Linked DNA regions of Lytechinus pictus. Each later gene encodes a partner of the first gene's protein in a complex. Links are inferred from orthologs where the notes say so. Each region holds a gene or a part of one and is shown on either strand. Other genes may lie near its edges.

Region 1 (7,606 bases):
TGATCATCTGATCATACTGGACCTCAAGCTCGGCAAAATTCTTCAATCGCTTCAGGGTCTGGGACTTCTCTGCATTGAGTTTTTTCTTGGCCTCACACGCCTTCTGGTCCATGATACGGATTGCTTCCTGTAAAGCCACAATAAAGGGATATATTTTGTTATCACTAACAAATTTAAACAAAATACATGTACTCTCTTTAAAGGTATAATTGAAATAAATACCTGCCCATCTGTGTCAAACATAAGAATGTCTAATTCAAGAAAAAAGACTAGGAAGAGGGAGATCAACTTTAAAAATACCACTGACCCACTGACAGTAACTGAACAATATGGGAGGTACATGTATTTCTATAGCCATGGTTAGGTTAAACCTGCGTTGCATTCGACCACACTTATATGGAGTGCCAGTTTTTATTATTCTCCAATTAAACATTATTCTCATCCTGCTGCAAAAAAAGTTTTCAAAAGTTAACTGAAATGGGGTGAATAGGAAAATACAAATATATAATGAATTTTAATGAAGTGATTGGCACAATACAGTTGCCATGAATATGGAAGAAATATTATGAAGCCAGCATTCAATAGAAGTGTGGTTAAAATTCTACTTTAAAGTTAGACTAGGGTTAAACCTTGGTATAATTATCAGCATGTGCCTACTATAAACCTTTCCCTGGAAAATATTCGGTTAAAGCTTTAACTGATACATCTATTAAGCTGATATTCTTATCAATAATAATATGCAAAAAAAAACACACAAAGAAACTTACATGTATAACCACAATATCAGAGGTAGACAGGAATATAATTGAATCTAAATCATACATGTATTCTCATAATCATACTGTACAAGTACTTTTCTGATTGAACAAACCAAACTAAGACTAGGAGTATGCAAGGACCAAACTCTCCTCTAGATTAAAATTGAAATAACGTTTTACTAGCATACCTTATGTTGGTCAAAACATTAAGTTATCAACAACATTGGTTATCAATTAATAGTGGCATACATGTACATAACTGGTGTTTGATTCCTAGAGTAGTTTGAAAAACAAAACAAAATTAAGATCAATATTAAAGGTTTTTTTTTCTGATTTCCTTTTTATTTTACCAAGCTGCAAAGGTTATTCATGACTTCATGAAAGATTAACCCGTTGCAGACTGGATGATTTTGCTATAACAAGTTTTCCATAGACTCCAGCGGCAGCCCATATATACTCGCACCTAATGGGTTAAGAAACATTTAAGTTACCCACCCGTCCAGATTTGCCTCTGAGCGAGGCGCGCTCCACCTCTCGACTCTTGAAGGCAATATCCAGTACCCGGTCATCTCCCGCCTTGCTTGCTGCTAGCCGCTTGTGTAGGGTCTTGTTTTCCTGTCGCAACTTACGGATGACTTCAAGGTTCTGCTTAATGGTCCACTGGGAACTCTCGTAATATGCTTTCCTGTCACCATCTTTAAACAAATATTAATAAATAAAATAATCATTGAACTGAATTAGGTACATGTACATGGAACAATATATGAAAAAAAATCATATGACTTTAAACATCATTAATGGAATGATCATATTGATAAACTCTAATAAACATGGCATCCATTTTTCATCAACCAGTTTAACCATGTAGTCAGATGCGTATTACTAGTATTAGATCCAATGTGTAAAATTATTCAAATTGATACCAATATCTTTGCATCTAATATGCTGAACAGATTCTACATGTAACTTTTGTTCTGTGGATTTATTTATCAATTCCTGACACCAAGATCAATAGACCTATCTGATTTTTACCATCCTCAATATAGTAAGCGTGTCAAAGAGAACCTAGTCTCCTAGACCAAAAGTTTTTGTTTCTCTTTATTGGTAATCAATATCCACCTGAGGATCAGGACCAGGAACCCAACATGGCAACAGATGTTGTTGGTTCCCAATTCCGTTGGATGTTTTTAGTCACTACACATCCTCCATGACCATGTGTTAGAATGTATGGAGGTGAAAACAAAAAACTCCTCCAAACAGACAGATTCAGCTACAGCCTACATGTAGATTCTAGATCTAAGCCTAACTAAAAGCCCTAATTAAGGCTAAGCTAAGGAAACCAAGTAGGCCTAGGACTTTAACATTACGTTTTGTCAATTTTGATTATTTCACAATTTCTTTCATTTTACTACTAGTACTAGGCCTACCCTCCCCAGACTGTATCCCACGTAGTCGTAGTCGATAACATTGGAACAACCATCCTTGCCTTAGGCTTAGCCCTTACAAGTCTGCTTTTGAACTGTCAGTCACACATGTGCCAGCGACCCTGGCCTCTGCCAAACTTAATCATCAACAAGACCTTTTATCCATTTGATCATTGACTTTGGTCTCGTCTCAAATAGACTAATACCTGCCCTAGCTTATTTTTGTTGATAGATCCTAACAAATAACATCTCACTGACTTCAGTTCAGTCTCTCTCACTCACGCTTGTCTTGACACTGTTCTGTTCAGTCCAGATTCCATTTATTTCTGAACATCTTCAACTCAAAGTCAAACTTTATCATTGCATTACCAATTTAATATGGCCCCTTGTGTTTATGAAAAAAAACTTCATTAAGTGTTACCAATGAGAGTACGTCATGGTCATCTAGATCTGGGCGTATCAATTTATTTCAATTTCTACATCCCCATTTAATTTACATTGCACATGACATGACAAGTCACAAAATGATTTTTTTTTTTACTCACCCAACAAGGAGATTTTACGCTGCAATTCTGATATTTGCTCCGTAATCGGAGTGTTGCTGTTTGTTTTGCCGACACCCGGCATTTTCGTGAGTTTTCCTGTCCTTCACCAAAAGTTAAAGATGTAAAAATATCAACAGAAACAAGTCTTTTTCAAAGAAATCTCGCTGCCAAGTCCATGTATCTTTTCGTAGTGAAGATTGTTTACGTTAATCTAGCTAGCTAGCTCTGCATAGGAAATCTACACACAAAATTTGTATTGGATTCCCGTGTATTGTACACGTACGAAATCCGCGAAACGAGAGCTTGCGATCGACGAAGGCTGTTTTGTCGCACGTTTCCCGTAGCAACTGCCGATCGTCGATAGCGCCAGCTGCGACCAATATGCGCGCAAAGACGCTGACGCCGAATTCGTCGGAAAAAAAAATATTCAGGGCGAGTATATAGAGCTATAACGTATAAGAAACTCAGAATAGATAATGGACGATAATACATATTTCATTTTTTTCTGAAATATTTCACGAAAGCGTACACTTAGCTTTGCGGGGGCCGCGGATAACACAGCCCCCCACTTTGTTTTTCCAAAACCGTGTACAAAAACGTAAAAATGACCATCTGATTGTGGTTTGTTGCATAGTCAGCCCCCCCCCACACCCTTTCAAAACCGTTCCGCGGCCCAAGTGGGGTTTGGTACAGGCATTTTTTTAAACCACATCAATGTTGAGCTGGCCCCTCGGAGGCGGCTTAATTAGGAGTACCCCCCCCCCCTTTTTTTTTTCTTTTGTCTGTTGTGCTTTTTAATAGGTCCAAAGTGTACAGCTTTTTCACTGCAATAGTGCGAGTAAAAAAAAATACATGGCAAAAGTATCAAATACAAAGTGGGTTCTTAATTTGGCCATGATGATGGGCAATGTTATTCGGATTGGTTAGACAGGAATACGGAGGCTCTTGATTATAAATTGTTAATCAGGGAGAGTTATTGGGGTGTTTTGTCACCATAAACGATACTAGGATATGGATGTAGGAATGTATATATACCGTATAGTGATATGCCTCCAATAGAACACTGAAACAATACAAAGAAAATGATGTATTTTTCTGTCACTGTGAGAGAATGTCACATTGATAACTGGTGAAGACAAGGAACAACAAACACACTGTTCAGCTAAAATATTTTCTTTTTCAAGAGGGGATATTGATAGCACAAAAAAAGTGCAGATTATCCCCCATTAATGGATTTTAAAGTTTTCATTAAAATGAAAGGACATCATTCACGACATGAAAACAAAAAGATATTAGAACCAAATGCTAGCATAAGCCTAAACTTAATCCTGGACAAGGTGATACGATAGTTGTCTTTTTTGGACACAGTCTTTGATAATGAAACTAAATATTGAATTTCTGACGCTTTATCACCCACAGCAATACTGGGTGAAAGGGAATCATGATCGTTAAATCATTAATGATAATGTAGAAACTTATACAACTGGTAGTGCATTCAACCACCGCAATGGCATAGCAGACTATAAATCAATACCTCGTGACTAATTACCAATGTCAGGTGATAAAGGCAAATGGACCAATAATGAGCCTCTAATTACACGCGCGTGCGCGCAAAACTTTTCTTTTGTGACGTCAGTTGTATACATAATGCATCAAAGACAATGGTCATTACGACGCGACAAGTTCATGAAGTGGACATTAGTAAACAAAACATTCCCCGGATAAGGTGGTGTTAAGTAATTAAATTAAAGTAATGATATTTTAACAATAGTTTAATATTTTAAGCGGAAGGAACCGAAATGGCAGCAGCGTGCATTCACATGCTACCCACACCGGGGGCAAAATGCGCTGCAAAAGAAATTAAAAACCAGCACGAGGACAGTTGGGAGATTTTTCCCGAAGACGAGGCAGCCGGCGTTGACCGCTACGGGAGTTTGTACGCCCAAGATTACAGCTTGGAATCTATCAAGCCCAAGACCGGGAAATCGGCCAATGTCCCAGCGACGATATGGAGGGTGTGGCAAGGTTACCATGGTCACATCTCTCCTCCTAGAAACAACCCACATCCGTCCGTGGTAAGTAGCAAGGGGGATCGGGTGTCCGGACACTGTCTTTATGATTTTGAAGCCTTATTTTTTGTATTTGGATTACACTAAAAATATGAATTCAATAGTTGTAATCGTCTTCTATGTTGTTCTCTGTAATATTACCTAATATTTTGTACTAAATATTGATGAAACTTCGCTTATTATTTTTTTTTCAAATGACTGTTCAAAATTGATTATCCGGACACACAATCTGCCTGGACACACATCTTACAAAAAAAAAAAAAAAAGGTGTTAAAATTTTAAGCACGAAGTTAAAATCCGTCACTTTAACAAATGTTTAAACTTTTAAACCATAATTTTAATCTAAATTTGTAACAATTTGTTTATGGCAGTTCTTAAGCGCTTACGATATCCCCTCGGCCCTAATTCGAATTATACCGAACTTCAAACTTTTAGTTCCCCTTATTCTATTGCTTTATTTTCATCTTCATTCTCATTTCATGAGCCTGCTTGCACGCATTAAAAGTTATACCTAAATTTAATTCATTACAAGCTTATTCGACCCCCCCCCCCCCAAGGTCAGTCTCTTTTTGGTTTGCATTTTGCACATTGCGTTTAATTGCCACTTTTTGCGAAAGTGCATAAGACATGTTAGATGGTCGAATCGTTGCCACCCCACCTCGGTCAGCGTGTGAAAAGGGGAAAATTTGCCGCCCTTCAATAATTGCTCATGATTGTGTCCAAACACAGAGTAGTGATTCGTTATGAATATCTATCATCAATATCATTCATCTACTGTCGATAAAAAAATATTTAATAACAGCTATCCGTAGACTGTTCGTGTTAAACAGCTTAAAGTGTAGAGTTTAACATCTTAAAGTGTAGTGTTAAATATCTTAAAGTGTTATCTTATTTTTGTGTGCATGAGTTTCGCCTGGACACTGAAGAAAACTAACAAAACACATTCTATTGCTAAATTCGTATATTACAAGCTTTCATCAATATTATGAGGCATGAACGCAGAAAAGGGTACGTTTCTTTTCATTTTATTGGAAAAAATAATAAAAGTTGAGCCTCAAAGAAAACATTTAACATCTGAATGATACCTTTGTAGAGAACAAAACATCCCAAAGCTCTTAGACGACGTGAAATTATCGACAAATCATTTGGAGCGCTAATAATGATGAACAAGACAAGGTTTTGATATTGATTAGATCATGCTTAACCATTGTCTAGGAATGTGGCATGGATGCAGATGGAAAAGAATAACAAGCGACCAAAATCGTTTTTCTGTTGATTAGCAAAAAGGTTTGTGGTATTCTGTTTGTCTGTCACGTGTCCGTGATCAATGTCATTGCCTTAGTTACATTTTCTGAAACACGGTTGCTGCCACCATCTAAGCGATCTTTGCTTGGATGGAGATAATGAAAGTCCATTGTCTTTATCGACTGAAATAATAATCGGGAGAACATAGGATGGATGAAATTGTCGTTCTTAACTCAATCCCAGAATGATCATGACAAGAGCCACAGAACAACCGGGCTGGAGGGCTAAAAACGTTAACGTGACCACCAGGGCCCTGATGCATGCATTAAAGAAAAACTATATGGACATTTTTTGCCTGAGTTTTTAAATGTGTAAGTTTTAATGGCATAATTCTGTTTGCCAGAGTTTTTTTATGGCAAAAGTTTAGTGCAACGTGTCCCTGATTGTAATTTATTTTCCGTGGTCAGCCCCCCTTCGGCTCTACTATATCAAACAACATTTTTCCGAAATTTTTCAGCTCGCGCTTCGCGCTCTTATCAGTTGTTTAGTACCATAGTCCTGGTTACAAAAAATGTGCTTTAAAATGTGTTAAGTTTTCGGTCAGTATATAAATTTCAAAATTTATTTAGATAAAAATCTTGATCGTAATTTAAAAAAGAATGCTCAGAATACTCAATTTTCAGGCCTTAAAACATGTAATATTTCAAAAACCCGAGATCGTGCTCACAATATTTATTAAGGCTAAATGAGATACCTATCTAGCTTGTAAGAACATGGATCTATGGTAAGAATAATGTCACGATATTTCCTTAAACTTCAATTTTTAGTTAGGACTACCCCCTCAAAAATAATCTGGGGAATTCTGTATGAAAATACCCCCCCCCCCCCCCCCCTGGCGAAAGTTGGATCCTCTCATCATGTGGATCGAAATCTGTGACAAGCAGCACCATATAACATGAAAATAGGCGCGGCGACCGAGCACGAAATGATTACATCAACTATTGAAACTTACTATTTAATACACACGGTATTTGGGTAAACTGGAAATGAAAGGTCATTAATATGCGTTTTCACCCATTGGCGTAGGATCTAGGAGGCTGGGGGTTGTCCCCCCCCCCCCCCCGAAAAAAAGTTCAACCATAAAAAAGGAACAGCAAGGAAATAAACTAATAAAATGAAAGGAAGGGGGTGAAACGTTATTTTGTTGAATATTATGTCATAATCTATCATAGAATCATATTTTCATTTAATAAGGGCAACAAGTTCCGCTTTGCGACTTTTTCGAAGTTTTCCTACACATGCCATATTGTTCCCCACAACCTTTTTTTTGCTCATAACGCCACTGTTTTCACTCTAATTTATTATTTTGAAACCCATAATACAATAATTGCCCCCCCCCCCCCATCATCAAAGGGGAGTGAGGGAGGGGTGTCCACAACCGCCACTGAGCACGCTTTGTGCATATTTTATGTAGGCCTATACTGTCATCAATCATCTTACAACAAAATATATGTAATACAAGGCCAGGAGGTTATATGGAATGGCAGTGGCAAGAGGCCTAAAGT
Region 2 (7,939 bases), on another chromosome or scaffold:
AGAGCAATACTGTTATAATGATAATATAGGGTATTTATATTGCGCACATATCCACCTTGTTAGGTGCTCAAGGCGCTCCTATATTACGCGGCTAAGCTAGGCGTTCACAGGGCACACAGCTTATTGAGGAATTACTTCCTACCGGTACCCATTTACCTCACCTGGGTTGAGTGCAGCACATTGTGGATCAGTTTCTTGCTGAAGGAAATTACGCCATGGCTGGGATTCGAACCCACGACCCTCTGTTTCAAATTCCGAAGACTTATCCACTGGGCCACAACGCTCCACATCATCATCAATCACCATTTTAACACAATTATTGTGATTATCACCACTCTAACAATCACTATCATCATAACCATTAATCAAATCTTTATAAATTATTGTCATTATCGTTATATCATGATCCTTATCATTTTCATGATTATTGTTATTGCAATAACTAATATTACCATTATTATCATCATATCCACATCATCATTATCATCATCACCATTACCATCACCAGCATCATCATTTCATTTTCATTTTATTCTGTTTTCTTTAATATCTCAGTTCAAAGATGTCAGCTCTATTTCGAGAAAATTTATTGTGGTTGTGAGTACCAGTAATCTTTCACAATTCAATTCAATTCAATTTCAATTTATTTCATTCATAAAAACACATAAATATACATAGTAATAAACAAAATATCAATATAAGAATGTGGAGACAGCTTAGAAGAACCAAGTCTTATACAGTGCTGCCACCAAAATGTAAGCACAAAAATTTTAAAATGAACATTTTAACATAATAACTAGAAAATAAGGATGATAAATACAAATACAAATTATTAATAATATGCCCAGATTCAGGCATCCTATTGGAAACTACCTATGCCAGCCGCACAGAAACGTTGTTAGTTAAACAAAGCGCTAACAGCAAGCCCAGTCATATCTTTCGGATTGTGAAGCCAAAACATTTGATTTCCACATGCAAGTAATGCATTGTTGTAACATTAGGCATCGCTGTCACATTGCCGATTGTATCAGAGCCTCCGTTACATGTAGCGCATCGTAAATGCTAACAACGTTTCTGTGCGGTCAGTACAGGAGGGATGCACAAGCCAAAAACATCTTCAACATATTCTCCGCTTGGTAAAGGCATGTGAATGGGGTAAATTGCCACTTGTGTCCATTTTGTATTAAATCTGGTCTCATCTTACATGGTTTAATCCTAGTTGGTCTACAACCTCTTTGTCTTCTGACGTTTTGGTAATGCATTGTCATTTAACCCAGTTAACCAGTTTCACTATTTTCAATTTTTGTCTAAAGCCACTTAAATCTCCTTCCTACAAAGAGTAAGACCTCCGAAAGACTGCTGTAAGACCATGAAACTTGCTTGATCTTTCAAGGGTCTTTCAATCAACTTTCAAAAGATCTCTGAGGTCTTTCACGTTTCCTGGTGGATCTTTCAGTGGTCTTCGTAGTCCTCAAGAAAATGTTTTTGGTGGTCTTTCAGGAGTTTTTCAATGGTCTTTCCATGAACTTTCAAAGTTCTTAATAGTCTTTCCATGATCTTTCGACAGTCTTTCAAGATTTTTTGGGAAATCACTGTAGGACTCGTGAGAGATCATTCAAAGATCATTGAAAGACCAGGGAGAGTCCATTGAAAGAATTCTTAAAGATCACTTGCTGCATAAAAGATCTCTGGAAGATCATTGAAAGATATCTATAGGACTTGTCTAAGTCTAGTAAGACAAAAAGTATCAATCAGTATTTCACAGAGTCGTCAAATTTCAGTGATCTTGGAGACTGCTGTTAAGACCTTGCTATTTTTGGGTCTTTCAGAAGTCCTTCCAAGGTCTCCCCTCTGTGGAATGGGGGCCTAATCTATGAATAGATTAACTGTTCACATGAACCAAATTTTCATTTGATAAAGTGCAAAACAATACTGTATGAGCCAAATTTTCTTTTGACAAAGTGTGCAAAAGGGGGAATTGAGACTATCTGGGCATTAGACTACTGTAAACAAAAAGTATTAGACAAATTGATTGTTGGAACGAAAGGTAATTAGACCAAATTGAGAGTACATGTGCACCGAGTGGGTTTAATTCTGATGGAATTTAGACTAATTGCAAAATCATATTGGATCATATTGGAACAGCTCAGGCATAGAAATCAAAAGATGAATAAAGGAACTACCTGACTAACACGGGAATCAATCTGGTCTACCCCCACTGCAGCACCGCCTGAAGCTCCATCTGCCTTCTTCTTTTTCTTTTTCTTCTTTTTCTTGTCTTTTCCTCCATCATCATCCGCTCCACCTGTGGCCCCTTGCTGACTGGTTGAAGGCTGTTCTTCGTCTAAATTACTGGTAGGACTATTGAAGGAAGAGAGAGCGAGCGAGAGAAAATGTAGTGTATTACAGTACGACAGTATACCATAGACATGTCCACTCCTCTGCCGTACTTTGGCAAAAGGAAGCAAGTTACAAATGAGAAATGTGTGTTTGTCATTTACATAGGCGTAAATGCAATTTAACATCACATTATCTTTGATCAATATCTTTTCATCGAACAATCATTTCTTCCCAAAATTTTGCCTGAACGTGCAATATAGAAAGTATGTTCCAGAAACAACTCAAATTCGACTGATGTGTCACTTGCTTCCTTTTGCCAAAGTTGGGCAGTCCTATAGTTCAGCTTTGGGATTCAGCTTTGGGAAAGATAGTTACCCCCTGAAATAGCCCAATTTGTACTCATACCCTCTCTTAGCAGAAATCCTAAACCCCCCAAGTTCAATTTCTCCCAAACGAAAAGATGATCTGTAGCATACTGACTAGAAACAAAGATTTTAAACCAGTCTGCTACAGGCCACTGCAGCTCTCAGTTACCTGGTAGTCTTGCAGGAAACTTCCAAACTTGTTGGGTATCAAAAGGGTATATATTTTCAACAGCCTGGAGGCCCTGGACACATTTAGAGGGTTTAATCATACTATCTACCTGCAATCATTCAGCATGGATTGAAATATTCAAACAGGTAATTGACAAATATTTTATTTTATCACTTTTCACAATCAATAATTATGCAAACAACTGAATACTTTCCATTAATATGGCAACAAGGATTGCTTGAAAGGGGACATCTTTTCATGCTTGATTTGAAATTAGGGAGGAGAAACTTGATGAAATATTTAGGTTTCTCCATTATCAAATTTTTCACAACTAAAGTAAGAGTCCTCTTTATCACTTCTCTGTCACTCACAGCCCTTATTTTTCTATCATCTTCTTTTTCTTTTTTCTTTTCTGTTTTCCTTTTTATCTTTTTTCTCCTATCATTATTTCTTTTAGAGCTTCTCCCCTCCTTTCACTCTCGAGCTCTCCCCCCCCCCCTTCTCCAGTTCCTTGTCCTCCTCATTTGTCTTCATTCTACTCCTATTTTGAATAATTCTTCCTCCTTCCTCTCCATCTTGTTCTTTTTTGTCATTTGCTATTCTTTTTCTTATCATTCTTCTTTGAACTTATTCTTCTTTTTCTTCTCCTCCTATCTCTTTCCTTTCTTAATGTCCCACCCTTTCTTCCTGAGTTCCTCCTTCTCTTAATTCTTTTTCTCAGTCTTCTTTTTCTTTTTTTATTTCCACCCCCTCCTCTGCTTCTAAGCTAAGTTCCATCTCCTTATTCTTCTATTTTCCTTCTTTTTTTAAATTCTTTCCTCTTATTTTTTTTCTACCTCCTCCCTTCTTCAACTTCACTCTTAAGTTCTCTTTCCCTCCTCGTTGTTGTTGTTCGATGTGGGTCATTTCCACACCCAAATGATGATCTCCTTGATCTTCAAAATGATCTTCCCTCCTCCCTTTATTCTTTTCTTTCCCTTCTCTTCTTTTCTTCCCCCCCCCATCTCTTTTCTTGATCTTGCTCTTATTGATCTAATCTCATTTTCAGACATAGAGTTAGACTCATTTTTATTTTATTTTTATCTCATTTTATTTCATTTCAAGTGGTATTTCTTCTTTTCGCTTAAATTTAAAGAATAAAAAATTATAAAGTTTTGCTCATTTCAATATTTTCTTCTTCTTTCACTTTCACTCCTCCATGGCATGCTACTGCTAGTAACTCATGGCATGACTGAGGACACCATCAAGAAGATTATTTAGGCCTAAACTAAGTAAGTGCACGATCAGTTACAAGACAGCCACCAACTTGAGCATGAGCGCCCAGGCCCAGCGCGATTACAGCTGGTGAGGTACTGCCCCGGGCGCGATCGGCGCAGGCCCGTGCGCGCGCCAGACCGTGCCCGTGCAGCTCAGTTGACTTGAATGAACACTTCCGAACACGGGCACACGGCTGGCCTGGACGGAAATGAAGTGCAGTCGTGCAGAATCCTGCATGTTGTCAATATGGTATTAGGGGATTTTAAGTGTATAGCTGAATAAACTGATAACTATTTCACTTACTCTGTTTCAGTTTGTGCTTCACTGCCAGCAGTTTTTTCTCCATTTGTAACAGGGTCAAGATTCTCTTCTGTCACCGTCTGCGAGTCCATGTTCTCCGCCATGTTTTTTGGCTAAATTGGTCAGATAATTTTTCTTTTTTAAAGAGTTGGAAGGGTCTAACTTAAAACGCATTCAGTTTAAAATAAAATTGATATTTATTTAATCACTAAATTATTTTTTTTCTTTCCTAAAAAGGATAAAAATATAATAACAAAATTAATAACAAGAAAATAGAGAAAACATTTTGCCCAAGCGCATGCGCAAAATGCATAGAGACGTGAAGCTTTATCGTCAACAACCCCGCGAATTTGTACCGTCCTAGATCATTATACCATTTAATTTGGAGGGAAATCGGTTTCTTTTGAATAAATATCACCATGAAAGGAAGTAAAAAGAATGCTGGAAATCAGGCAAAAGAATTCCACTGTAAGTATTAGGTATTTAATTAGCCCAAGGCCAAACTTATTCGGTACCTTCCGGAAGTTCCGACCTGAGTGAGGCAGAGCTGCGCCCTGCGACGCGCCCGACCTGGGGCCGGGCCCGATACCTTCCCCAGAGCTCCGGCACCGTATCGGACCCTAGGCTAGCCCCACTCACACAACATGCGAGGTTAGTATTACTAACCTCGCACAACACATGTGATTTCATAGTGCATTTTGACGTTTTCATTCATCACACGAATGTGAGGGACTAAACTACGCCAAACCTTTCAATATTTGTCCGCTATGTTAATCTTGATCGTATGATCAAGTTTTTATGAAAAAGCAATTATAAATTATTTATTAAAGTGTTTTTATCGCTTACCTCCAAATCTCAACCAGGATACTTCGCTCGGTCCGTCCTTAGTCATCCTTCGTACTGCGGTGGAAATTACGCAAACAACAATCGAAATGCGAAATTTTCCTATCGAACATTCTCGATTCAAGTCGTCGGCGCATAATAGGAAATTGTACCAAAAATCAACATAGTTCTCTATTTATTCAAACAATTTTTTCTGGGGTGCACTTGACCTTTAAGAGATTTTCCAATGAAAATATTACATGGAACTTGGAAATACAAATCATAATTTGGTTGAACAAAATGTTTTCTGTTAAAGTATAAAACAGAAGAGGAACATATCCTTCACGTATTTTTATATGTTTGCACAAAAAAGGAGAGGGAAAGGGAAAGGAAAAGGGAGGGGGAAAGGTAGAGGAGAGAGAGGGAAAAGGAGACCATAAAATAGAAAGAAAACAAAGGAAAGGAAGAGGGGAAGGGAGAGGGAAAGAAAAATGGAAAGAGCGAGAAAGGAAAGAAAAGAAGGGAAAGGAAAAGCGAAAAAGGGAAGGGAAAGGGAGAGAAGAAAAGAAGGGAGAACGAAAATGGGGAAAGGGAGAAGGAGAGGGGATAATGAAGGGGATAGGAAAATGTCAAGTTTGAAGATCTGAATATTAACACTAAAACAAAATTAGACTCCCATGTTTTATTTATAAAAATACCATCTTTTTCATGATTATAAAGGTTCAACGTCCCTGTTCTAGGTCTAAACTTCAACATAAATCTACTGGCGCTTCGCGCTTGAATTCTGGAGGTCATTCCTCTTTTAAAAGTATAGGTAATCTGTCGGACTTTTCAAATCCCAAATTTAAATCTTAAGCGCAAATGCCCTCGCATTATTTTTCATTTAGATACAGTCCTGTCATCAATATCAAAAACTCTAAGCGCGAGCTTCGCGCTGGCATCATTTTTGTAAGTGACATTTATGATGTTGTTCATATTTAAAAAATGTCCATTTGTTGAGGTTTAAATGTCCAAAAGTTCAGCGCTCGCATAATTTGTAAGGTAAATAGACCTACCCTTTTAATTGTTATACAAAGGCGCTTATACAACGTCACACAATATTTAAATAAAAGAGTTGCCAAAGCTGTAGTACATGTATAACTTCACACACACACATATATATATATATATATATATATATATATATATAGGTCTCCTCATCATGGTTATAATAAGTGCTCAGAATGTTTTATTTTCAAGTCCTTGTATCAGAATTTTCAGCTCGGGCAGCTCTATCGCATTTTGATTACTATCCTGTTGATTTATTTACTTGAACAAAATATTTAAAATGTCCAGCTTTTAGAACAGATATCAAAAAAAGGTATTCACCTTTGATCATAGATGAGGAAGAAGAAAAAAGTGAAAAAAAATAGGAAACAAACTAACGAATTAATGTGACATAATTTTTCTTCATTTCAAGGCGACTCTTTACATTTCATCATCGCTGATGGCGCTACAATAGAAAATACCGCTTGACAGCAAAAAAAAAAAAACAGAAAGAGGAAAATAATGCTGAGCGTCTAAAATGCAGCTAGCAGTACAAGCTGCAGAACCGTCGTAAACAAACATCTTGTGAATAATATCGCGCGCCCTCTAGCTCTTTAAGCAAAAGTTTACAACCACAATTACCCTGCGGTATCTACGTGAAGATCACGAGAAAATGCATTTTTTATCTTAAAAACACACCAAAGAGAAGACAAGAAACGATCCATATGGTTCGGTAAGTGTCATAGCACAATTAGAAACATTATTTTAAAAGGAATGGCTTAGTTATTTTAGTAAAAAGGGTGTGAAAAATTCGCGTGCACCATGTGCATATGAATCCTTCGCACGCGAGATGCATTGATCCCATGAGTGGGCTAGCCCAAGCGTTTTGGCTTTGCCGGCTTGCCGCATGCAAAAACAACATCCCCGCAAACAAACAGGCTGCGGGATGCTGTAAGCTCCAGAGACCATACCCCACTCAGGAGGATTTATAAATAAAAAAAATTAAATATTGTATAATTCACACAATAAAATTAAAAACAAAATACCGGTACTTATATAGTGAGTGAGGCATCATCATTCTCATTTGACAGTACTGTCAGTGTCAGTAGAGGCGCACGGCCAATATGGGAGACTCTCTCCAATACTAATACTAATAGGGGAGACAATCTCCCACATTGGAGACTTGCTTTGCAAAAGGACAAAAGAAACAACACCAACAAAAGCATGATTTTTTCCACCCAAAATTTTGTCTCACTGAGGTCAGAAGCCCATTTGTTTTGTGTGTGATTGACAACAAAAATCCTTATCAAAACAAAAGTAGACGGTGAATTTTAAAGTAGACGGTGAAAAGGGGTAATTTTTCATGAGGAATCTGCTTATCACATTTTTATTTGCCTCCAAGGTAATCCTTTTGCAGCAAATGTAAACAAAGGAAATTGGTCTCCAAAACTGGAGACTGTCTCTGAAATTGGATACCCAAATTCTTTACAAAAGTCTCTGATATTGGAGATAATCTCCCACATTGGAGACAGTCTCCAATATTGGCCGTGCACCTCTACTGTTTGAAATTTTGATTTTGAGTTTTGCGTATCATTCACTGTTTTGTGAAAAATAAGTAAAACTTTAAAGTCTTTAAAGGAAAATGAAAGGATAGATTTAT

Evidence for each region. Proteins that work in one complex are often made in the same cells at the same time.
Region 2: outer dynein arm-docking complex subunit 3-like (region 1) and calaxin-like share a complex: the UniProt entries of both Homo sapiens proteins name them as parts of the outer dynein arm-docking complex. The link is inferred for Lytechinus pictus from reciprocal best matches to the Homo sapiens genes ODAD3 and CLXN.

The regions. Positions count from the first base shown.
Region 1 is NC_087259.1:10,445,817-10,453,422, forward strand, and holds the start of outer dynein arm-docking complex subunit 3-like, read right to left. Parts: upstream 3,079-7,606; 5' UTR 2,810-3,078; coding exon 2,728-2,809; intron 1,454-2,727; coding exon 1,254-1,453; intron 128-1,253; coding exon 1-127. Other genes in the region: uncharacterized protein LOC129277736, read left to right, coding at 4,527-4,802. UniProt on the Homo sapiens protein: Component of the outer dynein arm-docking complex (ODA-DC) that mediates outer dynein arms (ODA) binding onto the doublet microtubule. Involved in mediating assembly of both ODAs and their axonemal docking complex onto ciliary microtubules.
Region 2 is NC_087257.1:8,581,920-8,589,858, forward strand, and holds the start of calaxin-like, read left to right. Parts: upstream 1-4,712; 5' UTR 4,713-4,850; coding exon 4,851-4,899; intron 4,900-7,939. Other genes in the region: glycylpeptide N-tetradecanoyltransferase 2-like, read right to left, coding at 2,184-2,361, 4,435-4,535. UniProt on the Homo sapiens protein: Component of the outer dynein arm-docking complex (ODA-DC) that mediates outer dynein arms (ODA) binding onto the doublet microtubule. Seems to regulate the assembly of both ODAs and their axonemal docking complex onto ciliary microtubules.